3 linked regions of the Stegostoma tigrinum genome follow. The protein of the gene in region 1 interacts with the protein of each later gene in a pairwise test. Links are inferred from orthologs where the notes say so. Each region holds a gene or a part of one and is shown on either strand. Other genes may lie near its edges. The genes, in order: probable E3 ubiquitin-protein ligase MID2, phostensin-like and enkd1.

Evidence for each region.
Region 2: the proteins of probable E3 ubiquitin-protein ligase MID2 (region 1) and phostensin-like interact in binary tests that used the Homo sapiens proteins (3 or more experiments, as listed by UniProt). The two-hybrid records come from large-scale screens. The link is inferred for Stegostoma tigrinum from reciprocal best matches to the Homo sapiens genes MID2 and PPP1R18.
Region 3: the proteins of probable E3 ubiquitin-protein ligase MID2 (region 1) and enkd1 interact in binary tests that used the Homo sapiens proteins (3 or more experiments, as listed by UniProt). The link is inferred for Stegostoma tigrinum from reciprocal best matches to the Homo sapiens genes MID2 and ENKD1.

The regions. Positions count from the first base shown.
Region 1 is NC_081368.1:43,278,405-43,284,328, reverse strand, and holds the start of probable E3 ubiquitin-protein ligase MID2, read right to left. Parts: upstream 3,832-5,924; 5' UTR 3,738-3,831; intron 1-3,737. UniProt on the Homo sapiens protein: E3 ubiquitin ligase that plays a role in microtubule stabilization. Mediates the 'Lys-48'-linked polyubiquitination of LRRK2 to drive its localization to microtubules and its proteasomal degradation in neurons.
Region 2 is NC_081387.1:14,388,414-14,394,337, forward strand, and holds the start of phostensin-like, read right to left. Parts: upstream 3,714-5,924; 5' UTR 1,822-3,713; coding exon 1-1,821.
Region 3 is NC_081393.1:16,157,268-16,163,191, reverse strand, and holds the start of enkd1 (enkurin domain-containing protein 1), read right to left. Parts: upstream 3,202-5,924; 5' UTR 3,154-3,201; intron 641-3,153; 5' UTR 632-640; coding exon 547-631; intron 1-546. UniProt on the Homo sapiens protein: Microtubule-binding protein which regulates microtubule organization and stability. Promotes the stability of astral microtubules and facilitates the proper orientation of the mitotic spindle.

The sequences.
Region 1 (5,924 bases):
GCCTGCCACTTTAACACCACCCTGTTCCCTGGTGAGCTACAGTATTCCATCAGAGCACACGCAAGCTGGAGGAACACCTCTTTCCACTTGGGGAGCCTACAGCCCTCTAGACTCAATACGGAGTGCATACTTTTAGGGCCTAACCTCTATTTCCCAGCCCACCACCCCACACACTAGACCTTGTTACCACACAGCCTGCCATTACAGATCCCTTAAATCACTGAGTCCCCATTAACACCTATTCGCCCTCCCAGCCTGATCAACTCCTTTATCTGTCCAACCATTTCTCTGGGTGGTTTACTCCCTACCTGACCTACTTCCCCATTTTCTGCAAGGAAAGTGGACATTTTCGTAACTACTACTACCAGTTTTGAGGAGTCACCTGATCTAAAACGTTAACTGTATTCTTTCAGGTGCTGCCACTTGACTTGCTGAGCTTTTCCAACTTTTTGTACTTAAGGTAACCTTCTTCAATGTCCATTTTTGACAAATTTACTAATATGACTTCCTAAATTCACATCCAGTCATTTTTATACACTTAAAAATGGCCAAAGCAGCAGACTCAACACCAATCCATGCAACATTACTGGTCACGTGTTACTAGTCTGAAAAACAACCATCTACCACCACCATATGGGCAATTTTATTGCCTAGTAGCTAGTTCTCCTGGTATTCCAGGTGAAACTTGTTAATTGGTCTACCAGGCAGAACTGTAGACACCTTTCTGAAGTCCATATAGACAATATCCACCACTCTGCACTCAATCCTGAGCCTTTTTGAAGTAACAATCAAGTTAGAAAGACATCTTGCCTGCCACTGACGTCAGTCTCATGAGTCCTAGTTCTTTTTCCTTCCTCACTTGCTTTGATGAATGGCACCACAATTGCCAACATCCAAATCTTCCAGCACCTCACAAGTGGCAGTCTATGGTGGAAGCATCTCAGCAAGGGGCCCAAGCAATGTCTTCCCTAGCTCTTAGGCATTGAACCAACTTTCTATAGGAACCTTTGATTCTCATTTGAGAAGGTAGGGAAGGAAGCGGGTGGTGGTTCTGGGTGGGTGCTCCTCAGAGGGAGGTATGGTCTGTTTCCACACTGTAGAGATTCTATGATCCAAGATAGAGTGAAGTGGTCATTGGCTTTCAGACTACAGAAAAGCTGACAGCAGACATAAATACACAGGATAAGGTTTGTGATAAGTGATTAAATTATCTTGTTCCTCTTGAACAGAAAGGGAAAGATGAGGCTTTTGTCCTAGGATTCACTCTGCCCTTGACTGACATACTGTGCTTCTACCACCTCACTAGTTCTAGAAGGTGACACTTGTTAGTTTCCATCCTTTCCTCTGTACGTGCTTCAGAAATGAAGCAGTGTGCAGAAAGAGATCAGGATTTGAATGAATGGAGGAAGCCTCATATTCCAAGTTTGGGCAGATCACCACCCCCATTTACTCACTGTGTTAACATGCAAGGCTTTATTGAAATAAAACAATTTTAGCTAAATCTAAATTCCACAAGATGGTTTTGTTCATGCTTTTTTGAAGTGCCAACATGCATTTACTCAATTATGAATGGCCAGCCATTTTAACTCCAAATTAAGTGCCCATTCCATCATTTGTCCAGGCAAAGTGCCATAGATCAGGACCTCAAAAACACTAAAGGGTTTTATCTTGTCCTGCATCTGCAGCCCCCACCCCCTGCAGAAAAACCATACTATTGACCATTCTTCTCTTTCAGTAGAAACTCCCAACCCCATTCATTCTTTAGGCTGAAACTTCATTGGTAGCTACAATATTGTGGTGAGTTCCATGACATGTGTTCTGTCACATTCCAGAGCAAATTCTTTGAAGCAGTTTTCACTTTTTCAACCTAATTATGCAACTAAAACAGGGAGAAGTGAAATGGTGAGCAATACAAAGGATTGACCTCTGGTCCCATATTTAAAATTCAGTTGCATTCCAGTGCACACAAGTGCAATCCAGAAATGTCTCCTCCTTTGACTGCCAAACGAGGCCACGCCAATGGACTGAGCCAACCTGGCTCAGTGGCCATGTCCTGTGTCATAAGGGACATCCAGAAATATCAACATCAATAAACACATATGGTCCACAAGGGCAAGAGCAACCATCATCTCTATCCCATTGCAGTTACACATGCATCTCACCACTAACAATGGACAGCAACCCTCAGTTACAAAAGTCATCACCACCAGGATTCCCACCTCCCAAAAGAGTAACTTCCGCACTTCCTACATTGGGATGGAAAACAGAGGATGTATTATTTGTTACATCTTCTACAGTAGGACTTTTACTTGGGGACAAATGCTCCTCACACCCATCTTTCAGTTGGAATGACCATTTACAGGAAATCTCAGGGATAGCAAATTAAGTACTATGCAGGGTGGGTTTTAAATGAGAAAATTCTTCAAGTGTTTGACAAGGTAAGTTCATAGCTTAATGCATTTAACTGGAAGGACAGTCTCAGAAAAACAGGCAGATTTAGCAGTGCCAAGAGCATAAATTGCCTCCGTCAGGAGGGTAATGAATACTTGGAATTCTCAGCTGCACTGTTTGCACAAAATTATTGAATATATTCAATGCTACACAGTGTGGGCACCGCTTAAGGGATATTTGGAATAGAAGGGAAACAGTTGAGGTTGATCAGCCAAGAGCCAGCAGGTTTGAAGGGCCAAATGGTCAACCAAACCTCATATTTCCTGCAGTTTTTTTATATCTATGCTTTTTCCCCCTCTGTGAAAGAAAGCAGTCTTTCACATAGACATTTAAGCACAAGCCTTAAAGATTGTTCAATTGTGGGGGGGGGGGGGGGGGGGGGGGGCAGGGGAGAAGAGAAAGGAAGAGAAGAAGGAGAGGAAAGGAAAAAAAGAAGAATGTTGTGACTGTGTCCAATCCACTCCAATGATTGATAGTGGATTTATCTAACTTCCCAGCTTATTGGCTGGCTACAAGGCTATGTTTTCTTGGGTCAACATAGCATTTCCAGCCCTGAGTAATAAGTAGTCATATTAACCCCTGCTGCCACTCAAGCCATTATGTAGCTACAGAAAAACAACTCTGCTAAGTAGCAGCTCAGGACTAGAACATCTTGCACATACAGCATTGAGCTTTAAAACAAGCCTTCGAGAGGCATGGAGTAGAGACAAAAAAAAGCAAAATAAGAAAGCCTAACATGCAATTTCTGAAGCACACCAGTTCTTTTGCAATATTAAAATTCAATTATTACCTTCCCTTTCTATAAAAACGGTGATTTTTAAAAAAAACTCAAAACTGTGGATACACGATTTGCCAGCCCAAGTGTCTTTGTACTACTTAGTAACATACAGAAAGTCAGTCAACCATACGGATCTGTAACTAATACCGTGCTGTTGAAGTGAGAAATCCAACTTGTCCTTCAAAACATCCTGTCTCATTTGATAATTCTTTCACTGGTGCTGAAAAAGAGAAATCCTAACATTGACTCACTATCAAATTCCAGTCTTTTAAAAAAAAAAGTGCTCATTTTTTCCATTCGAGAACCCCAGGCTGAAGAAGTGCATAAGTAATATTTGCATATGCCCTTAGCAACCTGCCGTCAAAAAGCGTTTTACAAGACATTTGAATTTAAGCTAGGCACACAATAATAATTTCATCACCGAAACAGCATTCTACTGCAATTCTCTCACTGGTAGGTGTAGTTTTCTCCGTTATTTACTTTATGTTAATAAGAAAAAACCACTTACCTTTATCTGTCAGCGTGCACGCTCCTCACCAAGGATCTGTGTTAATCACTCCCTCCCAGTATCGTTTTCCCGTCAGCTGCCTCCTAGCAGTAACGCGAACGAAGTTCAGTTCCTTTGCTATGTTCCGGTCTCTCTTCACAAAGATTTACAAACTATGCTCATTCAGCTTCAATGTATCACCCACCCCATTCCCAACCCTATCATCAAATAGCAAGGCAGGAGCAGAGATTCAGTGAATCATTTCCTTGGGGACACGTGATTTAAAGCTGCTAGAATGATTTTCCTCTCACGAGCAGCTGGGATCAATTAAAATGCTGCTTCATTGCAGTTGGCTGGACCACGGATATCCTCCCACCCTTCTCACTGATTGCCTTTTCCTAATTCGAGCTCTGTCGGAAGCACCAACATTCTTTGTGTTATTAATCTAACTGTCTGGAAACATTCTGGCTTGTGGAAAAAAAACAATGGTATTCTCTTGCTGCTATATATGGTCACAAAGCATCCATTTTAATGGTCTCAGAGGAAATCAATTCTTAAATTGTTTGCAATCAATTTTTTTTCTGAAAAGGAGGTTCTACTGCCTTAAGCAATCGGCTGTAGTGGTGTGATGCTCGAATGGGGATGGAAGTTTTTTTCGATTTAATAAGTTAATGTTTTAAATGTATATTTCTCTTTCCAGATCATGTTGCCCTTGTTCACTTACTGTGACTGGTACTCTCACTGCAGAGTAAAAAGTGCATGGGCTCAAAGCCCTTAGAGGAAACATGAGCACATAATGTGGGCTAGCACTTCACCGAAGTGGTGAGGGAGTTCTGTTGTGTCAGACGTATTGTCTTGCAAATTATTTGGTGCTATCAGAGACTCTGCGTCCCCTCTCAGGTGGATGTAAAAGATCCCCAAAAATTGTTTTACTTCAAAGAAGAGGACAATTCTTCCCACTTATCTGAAACGTCACCAAGCAGAAGACAGATTACCCAAACATTGTGATCAGAGATAATGGGAACTGCAAATGCTGGAGAATCCAAAGTGTGGGGCTGGATGAACACAGCAGGCCAACCAGCAGCTTAGGAGCACAAAAGCTGATGTTTGGGGCCTAGGCCCTCATCCAGCCCCACACTTTGTTATCCAAACATTGATCCAATGTGATCTTGATTACGAGAGAGCTGGATGCTCAATCTTCGAAATTATAGCCATGTTTATACATTGAAAGCGCTTCGAGTCTGTAAATTGCAACGAGACTTCTTAAGATCGTGAAAGGCATGTTACAAAAGAGAGAAATAAAATGATTTCTATTTAGGTACAGTTCTACATCATTTCTGTAGCTTGATCATTCAGACATGGCCCATTTCCAATACAAGTATCAATCAAATTTGCCGCACATTGACCTGATATCTACTCTCATACTTAGCTGCACATTGTTGTGGGAATGTTTCTCTTCTGGTGGTCAGTGGTGCTGATTGAAGTACCTCACGTAGGATCAACTCGGTTGGTACAGGCTAGCCGTTAAATCTGGGCACTTGCCCTCTATCCCTCTGTCAGCTCTAATTCGTGTTGTGCACTTATGAGTTAATTCATTGGCTGTGAAGCAGAGGGAGTGGACAGTGGGGAGTAGCTGGGGAAATTGGAGAAGGGGGCCAATGTAAAGATTTATTGTTATTTTAAAGTATGGGGTTTAAAACACCCTAAATGGTGATAATATGCAGGGCCATATGCTACTTGCAAAATTATATTTTCTAAATCCCGATGTAAATACATTCAAATGCAACTCATTAACTCAGATAAACAATAACAGATATCTTGCTGCACACAGCTAAGTGGTCTTCTGTATATCTAGGGCTGAAATTACCAAGGATATAGGCAGGTGGAAGGCTCAGAATCTCACGACTGCCTGAAAGAGATAGCAAAGATTAGATGTCGGGGTGAATTTGTAATGATTGTCAATCTCGAGCATTCCTGACCTGCCTGGAAGTCTACAATCATGTAAACAGATGTTTGCAAGTTCATCATTAAAGTATTGGAAACAAGATAGGGGTGACCAAAGCTTTTGTCTTTAAGGTGCGTGTTTGTTTTTCAGGCCAAAATTCGATGTAACATGATACTTAACAGCAGATAATTAGTTAGACCGAATCTTCACCTCAAAATGTTTTGATTAGAACTTTGTTGAAAGTGCAAGCTGATAACGGTGGG
Region 2 (5,924 bases), on another chromosome or scaffold:
CAAGATGCCGTTCTCTGTTGTCGCGGCGTTGCCAGGAGACGGGGTCTTGTTGGCTGCCATCTTGCGGGGGTTGATGGTGATGGTTCTCCCTGACTTGCGCTGGGGGCCGGGAGAGAAGGTAGGCCGCTGCCTCCCCTCGCCATCCTCCAACACCGCCTCGGGGCCTGGCCTTGAGGGCGTGGACGACAGGGTACCCTGCCGCCCCCGCCCTCCGTCACTTGCGCCCTCTGTCTCCCGGGCGACCACTCCCCCACCCCCTCCTCCATAGCTGGCTCGGACAGGGAAGGCCGGAAGCCTGGTTTCCCGGGGGCCCACAGTGGGAGGCTGCGGCCCGCTCATGTTGCTGCTGGGCCCCCCCTGACTGGTGTCTGGATCTGGCCCGGGCTCGGTGAAGGGGGCCCTGTCCAGGCCTAGCTCAGGCGTCCCACCCTGTGGTCCAGGATCCCCAGTGCGTCTCTGGTCTGTTGCCGCACCAGCAGTAGCAACAGCAGGAAGGCAGGAAGCTGTAGGGGCCTGCTCTGCACAGGAAGAGGAAGCCACATTGACAGGCTGCTGTGGCCTGGAGGAGCCGAGAGTGTTTACATCGTTGGGGGAGGGTGGGTCGGGGAGGAGGACGGAGGCTTTGGCCTCCTCCTCCTCCTCCTCCCCCTGCTGCTGCTTGGAGGGTGCAGCCTGGCCATCAACCAGAGCCTGGGCCTCCCTGGGTTCAGCCTTGCCGTCCCTCACTATGCCGGGGCCTGGATCTGGATCCCACCTCCCGCTGCCCAAACAACCAGGCCTGAGGCGTCCTCCTCCCCCTCTTCCTCCTCCCCCTCCTCGTCCTCCCTCCCCAACCATCCCCTGGGACCCTGGCCTAGCGGGCTGGGCCTCCTCCTCATTGGCGGCTCGGCTGGGTGTCTCTGTCGCCAACCAGGCCTCGAAGCGGCTGCGGGAGGTGGAGACCGTGCGCGGAGGGGAGGTGGTGGGGGGAGAGCGGGACTGGGGCCTGCGTCCTTGGCGCGGGGCGTGAGGGCTCCTCGGTGGGCCAGAGGATGCCCCTGAGCGTCCCGGGCGCTCCAGGATGTTCTCGGTGCTGCGGGAGCGAGAAGGCCGTGCCGCAAGAGCCTTTGTCTCCTCCCCCACCCCGCCATCTCTGGTCGCCCAGGTGCGCCCCTGCTGGCCGAACCTGCACAGTAGCCGGCTGACCCGCCCACGTTTGGGGCCCTCCTCTCCCAACTCCGCTCGGCACTTCCCAAAGGAGTTCAGATCCTCCACACTCCTGCTCAAGGGGGAACGGAGGTCAGGCCGACATGCCCCCTGCTGGCCGGCCAGGCCATTCACACTCGGCAGCTTCTCACTGGTGCCCGGGAGCCTGGGCCCGGATTCAATGATGGTGATGTCGTCTGCCTGTATGATGGTCACCCCTGGGGTGTGACAGATCATCTCGGTCCCTGGGACACCCAGAGGGGCCTGCTCCAGCTCCGAACCTCCCTTCCTCTGCTTCTCCCGCTGGATAAAGTGATTCTGGCGCAGGGGCCCAATGTTCTCCCGCAGCACCACGCTGTCTGTCGCCGTGGCAACGCAGGCCTCAGGCTCTGTCCCATCAGTCCCAGCCTTGGCTGCAGAGCCCATCGGGCTAGACCCAGCCTGACCCTCGGCCTGTATTTCCAAAGACGATGACCCAGGGCACAGCCTGGCCCGCCTCCTCTCGATGATCTCCCTCTTCCAGGCCGGAATTCTGGCCAGCCTCTCCTGTTCTTCCTTCTCCTTGCGCCTTTCCTCTTCCTCATCCCTTCTCTTCCTCTCCAGCAGCTGAACCTTCCACTGAGGAGGAGACGTCATTGTGGAGTTTCAGCCCAGTCACTGGTGGAAAGTGAAGGGGTCAAGCCTGCCCCAGTTCTGGTCACTAAAACCTGCTCCACCCACCCACGACTGACTTCACCCCTGGGTCACCCTGTCTCACTGGGAAATCGACGGGGTCTCAAAGATGGTGACCTTCAGACAATGCCATATGGGACAGAGCAAGATCCAGATCTATGGCCAAACACCAAATCTTTCACCCTGAGACATTACAGACACTCAAAACACACACTCAATACTCAACTCGCACACTCAATACCCAACACTCAGACCCTCACACTCAATACCCAACACTCAGACACTCACAATCAGACCCTCACTCAATACCCAACACTCAGACTCTCACTCAATACCCAACACTCAGACCCTCACAATACCTAACACTCAGACCCTCACACTCAATACCCAACACTCAGACCCTCACACTCAATGCCCAACACTCAGACACTCACAATCAGACCCTCATTCAATACCCAACACTCAGACCCTCACTCAATACCCAACACTCAGACCCTCACTCAATACCCAACACTCAGACACTCACAATCAGACCCTCACTCAATACCCAACACTCAGACCTCAATCAATACCCAACACTCAGACCCTCACAATCAAACCGTCACTCAATACCCAACACTCAGACCCTCACTCAATACCCAACAGTCAGATCCTCACTCAATACCCAGCACTCAGACACTCACAATCAGACCCTCACTCAATACCCAACACTGAGACCTCACTCAATACCCAACACTCAGACCCTCACAATCAGACCGTCACTCAATACCCAACACTCAGACCCTCACAATCAAACCGTCACTCAATACCCAACACTCAGACCTCACTCAATACCCAACACTCAGACCCTCACTCAATACCCAACGCTCGGACTCTCACTATCAGACCCTCACATTCCATACCCTCAGACCCTGACACTCCGACCCTTGGGAGCACACAGCCAGCAGTTCACCCACCGAAGCCATGGTCAGGTACCCCTGCGCACCTCATGGGAACGCTCAGGTCCCCATCTGCCCCAGGATAGATCCCTCCTTCTCTCTGGATCAGGGAACTCCTTCTGTCCGTACCGGGATAAATCCTTTGACAGGGAAACTCCACGGTCTGTCCCAAGATAAATCTCTCTGTCAGGGATAAGCCTTTCTCTCGATCCTGGGAATAAGTCGCGCTCTCTGTTCTCGGGATACGGCCTCCTGTCTATCCCTACCTCCGTCCCGGGGATGACAGTCTATCCTGGGATAAATCTCTGTCTCTGTGCTCCCATGGGGTCGATTCCAGGCGGGAGGGAAGGCGATGGTGATGTCTCCCGGGTCAGACACTCCGCTGTCCCGGGACAGTGCTGGGTCCTGGGTGCCGCCCCGGCTTCCCGAACAAAAGGAGCGGCTCGGGGTGGGTGTTCCTGACCGCCCGGAGGCTGCGGATCCCGGGGCGCGGGGGGGGGACTCTCCCCGCTGGCGAGCTCTCGCTCGGGATTTGAAGCTGCCTGCGGTGGTGGGGTCCGACGGGGGATCCCGTAATCTCCCCGGGACTGGGAACCCGCTGCTGCTCACGGTGACTGAGTGTGTGTGTGTTCGAGAGAGAGAGAGAGCATCCGGGAGAGGGCAGGAAACAGAGAGAGAGAGAGAGAGAGAGAGAGACGGGGGAGGGAGAGAGAGTGTGGGGCTGGGACTAGGGGTGAATGGACAGAGAGGTAGAGAGAGCGCGAAGGCAGAGAAAATAAAGTGAGACTGAATGGAGAGAGAATAAAATAAAACGAGGAATGGAGACAGAAAGTAAATGACTGCAGAGGGTGGGAACAGGGAGAGACTTGTAGATTAGAGAGAGGGTCGTGGGGGAGAGAGAGAGAAGGGGGGAGAGGAAGGGTGAAGGGAGACAGTGGGTGGAAGAGAGTGAGAACAAGGTGGGATGGGAGAGAGGGGTTGGGGAAGAGAGAAAGGGGGAAGGGGGGAAGAGAGAAAGGGGGAAGGGGGGAAGGGGAGGGTTGGAGAGAGAGAAGGGGGCTGGGTGGGAGAGAGAGGGGGGTTGGGGGAAGACAGGGTGAGGGAGTGGGAGACAGAGAAAGGGGGTGGGGTGATAGGGAGATAAAGGGGGGAAGGAGAGGGAGTGAGTGGGGTGAGGAGTGTGTGGGGGGAGAGAGTGAGTGGGGGGATAGAGGGTTGGGGGAGAGAGTGAGTGGGGAACAGAGGGTTGGAGGTGGAGAGAGAGAGAGAGAGAGAAAGGAGGTGGGGAGAGAGAGAGAGGGTTGAGGGAATGGGAGTGTAATAAAGAAAGGCCGAGAAGGAAGACAGAATAAAGTGAGACCTGACCGAGAGAAAAATGAGGTGTAGAGAGAGAGACAGCAAATGAAAATAGAGAGGGGGAGCATGTAGACTAGGAAGGGAGGGGAATAGAGAGAGGAGGAATAGAAAGATGGAGATAGAGAACAGGAGAGGAGGGATAGAGAGGCGGGAGTGACAGAGTGAATGGAGCAAGAGTAAATAGAAAGAGGAAATAATGAGAGACAGTGAACAGAGAGACAGGGAATTGAGAAAGGGAGTAGAGAGAGTTACAGACAGAGAGGAAAGAGAAAGTGGAATGGGAAGAAGGAGTTAGAGAAAGGGTCAAGGGAGCAGGCAAAGGGAGGTGGGGAAAAGAGACAGAGAGAGGCACAGAGAGAATTTAGAGAAAGGAATAGGAAGAGGGAGTTAGCGAGCAGGAGAGGAGAGAGAAGATACAGTGAGGGAGAATATAGAGGGAGAGATAGAATGGGGAGATCAGGACTGTCCTCCTGTAGAATGAGAAGGCTTAGAGGAGATCCGATAGAATTGTTCAAAATCATGCAGGGGCTGGACAGCGTTGACAGAGAGAAACTGTACGATTTGTAAAAAGAGATCAAGAAAGACAGGGCACAGATTTGAAGTGACTGGCAGAACAAGCATATGTAAGCATTTGTGGGACGGAAGCACATTTTGAGTTGCATCTGAACTGCAAGTAGCTGGGGGAAACTGGTATTTATGCTGGAACCAAAGTGTGGGGGAGAGCGGAGGTGAGTGTATAGGTATAGATGGAGGTCAGAGAGATGGAGAAAGATATGACAGAGAAATGTAAACAAGAAGATAACAGATAGCTGGCCAGGACAGAAAAAAAGCTGAATAAGAGATCATGCAATCAAAGAGTGAGAACACAGGAGAGCTCTATTGAGAAGTGTACCCGATTGCTGCTCACCTGCAGATGCTGCCTGGCCTGCTGTATTCTTCCAGCGTCCTGTTTGTCTACCTTGGATTCCAGCATCTGCAGTATTTTATGTCTCTAACCATGGGCCTAGGATTACGTGAGAATGGGTGACCGGGCTAAAAGAAACCCATGCTGTCACAGGACTGGGTCTGGCAGTGGGTTAAAAAATGGAAGGCTGGAATCAGGCTCTAAACTTATTTAATTTGACGTTGAGCCCTAGAGGCTGCCGGGTCCCCAAGCAGAAAGAGAGATTTTTTTTTGAGCTTGCGCTGAGCTTCGCTAGAGCACTGCAGCAGGCCTGAGACAGAGCAGGCTAGAGAACACAGCTTGGAGTGGCAGGAAACTGGAAGCTCTGGGTCGTTTTTGCAGTCACCCAGGTCTACATTTTGTCTCCCTAGTGTAGAGGAGATCACATTGTGTGCGGTGAATGTGGTAGACTAGACTGACTGAAGTGGCTGGTAAATCACTGCTTCACCTGGAAGGTATGTCTGTGGCTTTGGATGGTGAGGAGCGAAGGAGTAAACAGGCAGGTGTTGCACTTATGCGGTTGCAGGCCAAGGTGCCATGGGGCTGTGGGGTGGGTGCGGTATTGGGACCGGAGGAGGAATGGACCAGGGTGTCCTGGAGGGAACTGTCCCTGCAAAATGCTTGCAGAGGAGGGGAGGTGAATGTGTTTCCAGTCTTGGCATCCTGTAGGAGGTGATGGAAACGTCAGCGGATGACGGAAAGTGAGCAGTAGGAGTTGTCTGAGGGAAGGGAAGGGACGGGGTGAGGGCGGAAGTGAGGGAGATGCGTCGAATATAGCCAAGGGTCCTGGCAACCATTGTATGGGGGGATCCGCTTAGTTGAGGAAAAGA
Region 3 (5,924 bases), on another chromosome or scaffold:
TAAAACAGTTATCACCTTTTCCCAGTCAAGCTGTGAAATCAATTTTAGGAATAACTCAAAACAAAGGCACAAATCAGAATCAAATAAATATCATATCTGCTATTAATGAGGTACTGTGAAATATTCAATATTGGGCTAATAATTACTGAATATGAATCTGCAGTCACCCATTACTTGCGCCTATTCTCGACTGAATTTCATCCTAGTATTAATAGGATGTCCAATTATTGTAAATATAACAAGCCTTGAAACTTTCAGTTAGATTCCAACTTGTTATTTTCCCAAGTTTCTAGGAGTATACTGCGTCTGCACAACAATTCTGCTTGTGAAGTAACAAGGTAAAGACATTTTTCTTCATTTTGTTCTTTCAGACTTCCTTAATCCACGCATAGATTTCCAGTGCACAGAATGAGCAAAAGCGCAAGGATCATTGCATGCAGAAACACTTCTTTCAACTTTGTTTCATCCCAGATGAGAATAGGAAATTCAACCAACAACGTAAAAGGAAGATGGAAGCACTTCACTGGAAAACAGGTAAAGCCTCACCTGACAGCGGACGCTTGTAGAAATCTGGGAATAGTGTTGGGTCTGGTGGAATGGGACCAGATATCTTGGAGGGACCCTCGGACATCTTGGTTACCTAACAATACAGAAACAGCTATGTCTAAATAGTTTAAGTGAAAAAGGAGGAACATAGGAATAGGAGGCAGCCAGTTAGTCCCTCAAGCCTGTTCTACCATTTAATTAGATCATGTCTGATCTGTGACTCAATTCATTTTCCTGTTTGTTTCCTGGCACTCAAAAACCCTGGCTTACAAAAGAAAATTCCAATTTCTGTGTTGAAAATCTTGATTGATCTCCAGTGTTACCTTTTAGAAGAAAGAATTGAAGATTTATTCAACGCTTCATACAAAACCATATATCCTGATTTCCTGTCTAAATGCTATAATTTTAAGATCGTCCCTTTTTGGTTCCCCAGCAGACATAATATATTCCCTGTAGCAATGTTATTGGACCTACCATCTTGTTATTAATATAAATTCAATTAAAGATTCAAGAAAAACATTTATGCTCAGAAAAGTGAAATTTGAGATTGCATGAAATGATTAAGGTGAATAGGATAGATATATTTCAGAGAAAGACAGATGCATGTATGACGGAGAAAGGAACAGGAAGTCACACTGCTAGGGTGACAGGTGGGAGGAAGGGCATGTGGAGTAGAAATGTCAATGTGAACCTGAAAAAAAAACTTCACTGTAAATTCTAGGTAATTCGACATGTCTTATAGCTTAAATCTCACCTGCGGCACAGGGCCCAAAACTGAATACAATACTTTGAGTGAGCTCTTTACAACTAAAGGATCTGTTCCTCACTATGCTAACTTTAGATAAAGATTTCATTAATCTTGTTGGATTACTTGTAAAACCTGTTGACTAGTTTTGATCTGTGCACATGAACATCACACTCAAATCCTTTGATTCTCCTTAACTCTTAATCTTTGAGTTAGTTGCCTTTTTTGATTTGTCTCTGGATCTAGAGCATCAGTGGAATAATCTGTAGAGACAGCTAACGCACCTAATTTGCTTTTAATTTTAAGTTTTCTCTCTCATTCCCTTCCTGAATAGCAGAGTCATATTTGCTACTCCCCAGTCCACAGGGCCAGTGCTAAAATCTAATAATATTGGAAAATCAAAACCAACACTTCTAATAATTTTGCAGCTCCTCTTTTTAAACCCTATGATGTCTTTACTATTTTAAACTAATTTAGTTCTTTACACTAATTAAACCTTAGGTTTCCAAATATTTTGATTATTCCTCTTATGGCATCCATTATGAAGTCAGGTACAGAAAATATTTCTTTAACATATTGTTACTTTCATTGTAATTTCTCCCGTCTTTGCCTCAATTACATCAATTTTACTTCCACTGATCTCTTCTAGCATTCTTAGAAAAGCTTTTACAAGCTGTTTCCTTGATGGCTTTCTCCCATTCTATTTTCATCCTCTACCACATTTTTGGTCAGGTTTTCCTGATTTTTAAAATCCTCTGGCTCACACCATCCTTTTTGGTAACATTGCAAGCTGCTTCTTTGAATCTAAGACAGCACTATATTAACTTTATTATTGTGCCATAAATGGGAGTGTTTTCCAGTGGTGTTTTATTCCTTGAAGAACTGTACATTCATTGGGAGAAAATAATTCTTACACATTTGTCATTACTTATGTGTTAATATATTTATGTAATTTCCCAATCTACTTTAAACAACATACCACTCTTTACCTGCTAAAGTGACTTTGCCTAATCCAAAGGCCTAGATAATCTGCACCACACTGAAGTTTACTGTGATTTGATCATATCATTCCTTCTCAGAAAACCCTTACAGGACAGTGGTTGTCAAAGGATGGCCCCCACACCAGTGGTTGTCCACAAGGATCTTTCATCCACCAACTAGTTGAAAATGCAACACAATGCATGGGGTCACACAAGGCAACAGGCTAAACTTTCATCTCCATCACTCATGCAACATCAGGCAACCAGACCACTCCCATGCACATAACACAAAATGTCACAAGTGCACACAACAAGTACAATTTATGTCACCAAGAAATTGGATTTTCAACATTTGTGGGGCTAAATGACAAGAGGAATGCAGCTATTTAGCATGGTCCTGCATATCTACTCATTAGCATCTCATCAGAAGCAGTTTAATTCTTCCCATTAATTCTAACGAGCGTTTTTGCAGTGGTAAGCATAGTGGTTAAGGTAGAACCGATGGGTAGGCTAAAGGGTCATTTGACCCTTATAAGGAGCCTTGGCCAACACAGTTCAACAACCCACTCTTCTAACCCTGTTTGATTGCTGGGACTAAAACCTGTTCCCATCTTGGTTCCTTGTGGGAATCAATGCTGGAGTTATTGGGCTGGAAAACACTTTTGCAGTGTGGGCAGAGCCTACTATGGTCAGAATCCAGTGTATCACTGGCGAGACAAGTTGCAATCAGCAGTAGTCTGGTTAGGACTCCCATTTGCTTGGGGAGGAACGGAATACAGGCTGGCATCAGTCAGAGACCTCCAATGTAAGCCCTTAAGGATTCACAATCAGGACCACCGCAGCTGGGAATACAACCAAAAAGCGCAACAGCCACAGGCTCACCTTCCAACTTTCCAACCGTCCCCGGGCATGCGTACGCCACTTTGAATACACGCATACGCAACGTCATTGCGTCACCTCCGTCACCACGGCAACCGCGTCCTTCACGTCGTCCTGCCATAATTCATGCTTTGTAACATTGGCTACTTCTGTCTTTGACTGTCAAAATGCATGACATATCCATTGAGTTTCTATGGGATATTCGTGATCTAATACAGAATCTCACTGGGAATATTAGCATATAGTATTTGGTTTTAGTGTCAACATCAGGGTGTTGTATCAAGTTTCATTGTGCATATCAGCGTACAGTATTATAGGGATAATTAATACTCATGGAGTCTCACCGTGAGTGACAGGGAAATGCTCACTATGCATCAGACACTCTTTTAGTTTCACCTCATGTTATTCTTCATGTTCTCCAAAGGCAGACACTTTCTTGACCCTGGAGACTGAGGAAAAAGGCATTTTCGGCAGGCTTTTAAAATGCAGAATACTCCCAAGCCCAATTATTCATTTCTCATCACACTCAGAAGTTATATTCATCATGGAGGCTAAGCAAGACTAGTTGTCTAGGCGCTATACAATAGATTGTAAGGTCAGGGAGTCATTCATAATATTATTGAATGATCGTGAGTTAAGACAATGCTAAGGCAGGCTGTGCATCATCCATGGGTTGACCGTTTTTTAACCACTTAATTTATTTTACCAGTTGATGTATCTCACCTGCTCACTTCCCCACCACTGTGCCCACTTGGATCCTTACACTGTGAAGCATGTCACACAGAAACATCGTTTGTAAAAGGTCGCATCAGACTTAGACAGAGTAGGAGACACGCTGTTCATTCATTATGTTCTTCTCCATTTTGAATTGATCCGTTAACAACTCCTCATTGTCATGTCAAACACGCAGACAGATTAGCAGATGACAGACTGCACACAGAAATAGAATTAACATTCTGAAAGTCTTTATTTTTGTTTCCATTCCTCTTTAGGTGGTTAAAAACACTGTATATCTTTGGAACAATGTTTCAATGGGTGATTCTTGTACTTCTCCCAAACTGGGAATGGGAGCAGACAGAGGGCCAGATAGTAGTCACATGTGCACCTGGCTATGTGGCACAAGTTTGCCTTGGGTCCTGAATGGTAAGGAAAAACTGTTCAGAGATGGCCATCAGAGAGTGGAATTCAACAAAAATATTTTTGTTAAAAAAAGAGGTTCTAGAAATAGCTAATTTTCTAAATTAGCTATTTTCCCCCAGATCAGCAATGCATTATAGGTAGGGTCATATTGAGAAGTTTCATGGTTCCAACACAGAAAAGATCATACACTATGTTATGAATACAATAAACTGTAAGTGAGACAAACTCATTCTTTACAGTTTCAGATTCCAGTGCAGTATTTTTTGTAATTAAACAAGCCTTTGTTTTTCAAAGAAAGATCACATCCACTGCCTCTTCACAACTCTAACTCAGTCTCCTCCTTTTAGGCACTCCTTAAAAACAAATTCTTCAGCAAATCTTTTGTTCCTCTAATCTAATTTCACCTTGTGTGATTTGGTGACTCATTTTATTTAATAATAGTTTTGTCAGATACATTGAGACATGTCATTTTCAAATCAATGGTGCTATACAAATATGTTGTTTGCACTTCTATGATAGCGGTCCAAACATGATCAATAAGAAACCCATTCCTCCACCCTTTCAAATAAACTGTTGAATCAAAGACTCTCTGCCAAAATATTAATGACGCACTGACATTCCCTGTGCCACAGTACTGAAGGGCATTACTCATGAAGCCCTGCATTGCTAGAGACGCAATGGGAGAATACTGTACTGCTAGAGATTTAGTACTGAGGGAGCACTGTCAGAGTACAAGATAATAAATTGTGAGGCTGGATGAACACAGCAGGTGATGCTGCTGGGCCTGCTGTGTTTATCCAGCCTCACAATTTATTATCTTGGATTCTCCAGCATCTGCAGTTCCCATTATCACTGTCAGAGTACTATCAGCTTTGATAAAATGTTATACTGCCTTAAGTGCAGGATTACCAAATGTGCCAATATTCGGATGAGATATTCAACCAAGGCACCATTACCCCCTCAGAGAAAGGTCCCATGTAAAAGATCTCATGGTACTATGCTGAGGGAAATCAGGGTGTTCTCCCTGGTGACAGTCCAACATTTATCCGTCAACTAATAGCAAATCTGGTCAGTTATCATATTGTTGTTCGTAAGAGGTTGCTGTGCACAAATTGGCCACCATATTTCCCAACACTATAGTGGTGACTACAATTCAAAAATTAGCATTTAAGGCTTCCTGAAGTTTTGGAAGATTGTAAAGAAATAGAATTCTTTCTTTCTTTCCTCAGAATAGACATTTTCCTTCCAGGGGAGCTACAATATATGCTGTAGACTGCCCTCTTCCCCTAGTAACCCTAATGTTAGGTGTCATTCATTTAAGGAATTTGTAAGTGCCTAGCATCTGCTTTATTTATGGCCCTACACTTCCCCTTGTTAGTGTTCTGAACATACATAAATCTCATTCAGTTAAGCTTACTTGAAGGACACTCCACGATCCCATCAATGCAGCTCCATCTGTAATGGATCATTGGATTGCAACCTTCTCCTACTCGTGTCTTGTAGCAGCACTGATGCTGAAGGCAGCACCTTAGAACAGAGAGGTAGTAACAATAATTCAGAAGATGCATTCACATTAGAGGAATGATGCGTTTACCCTGGGCATCAATGCATCAGAACATTACAGACAGAAATTC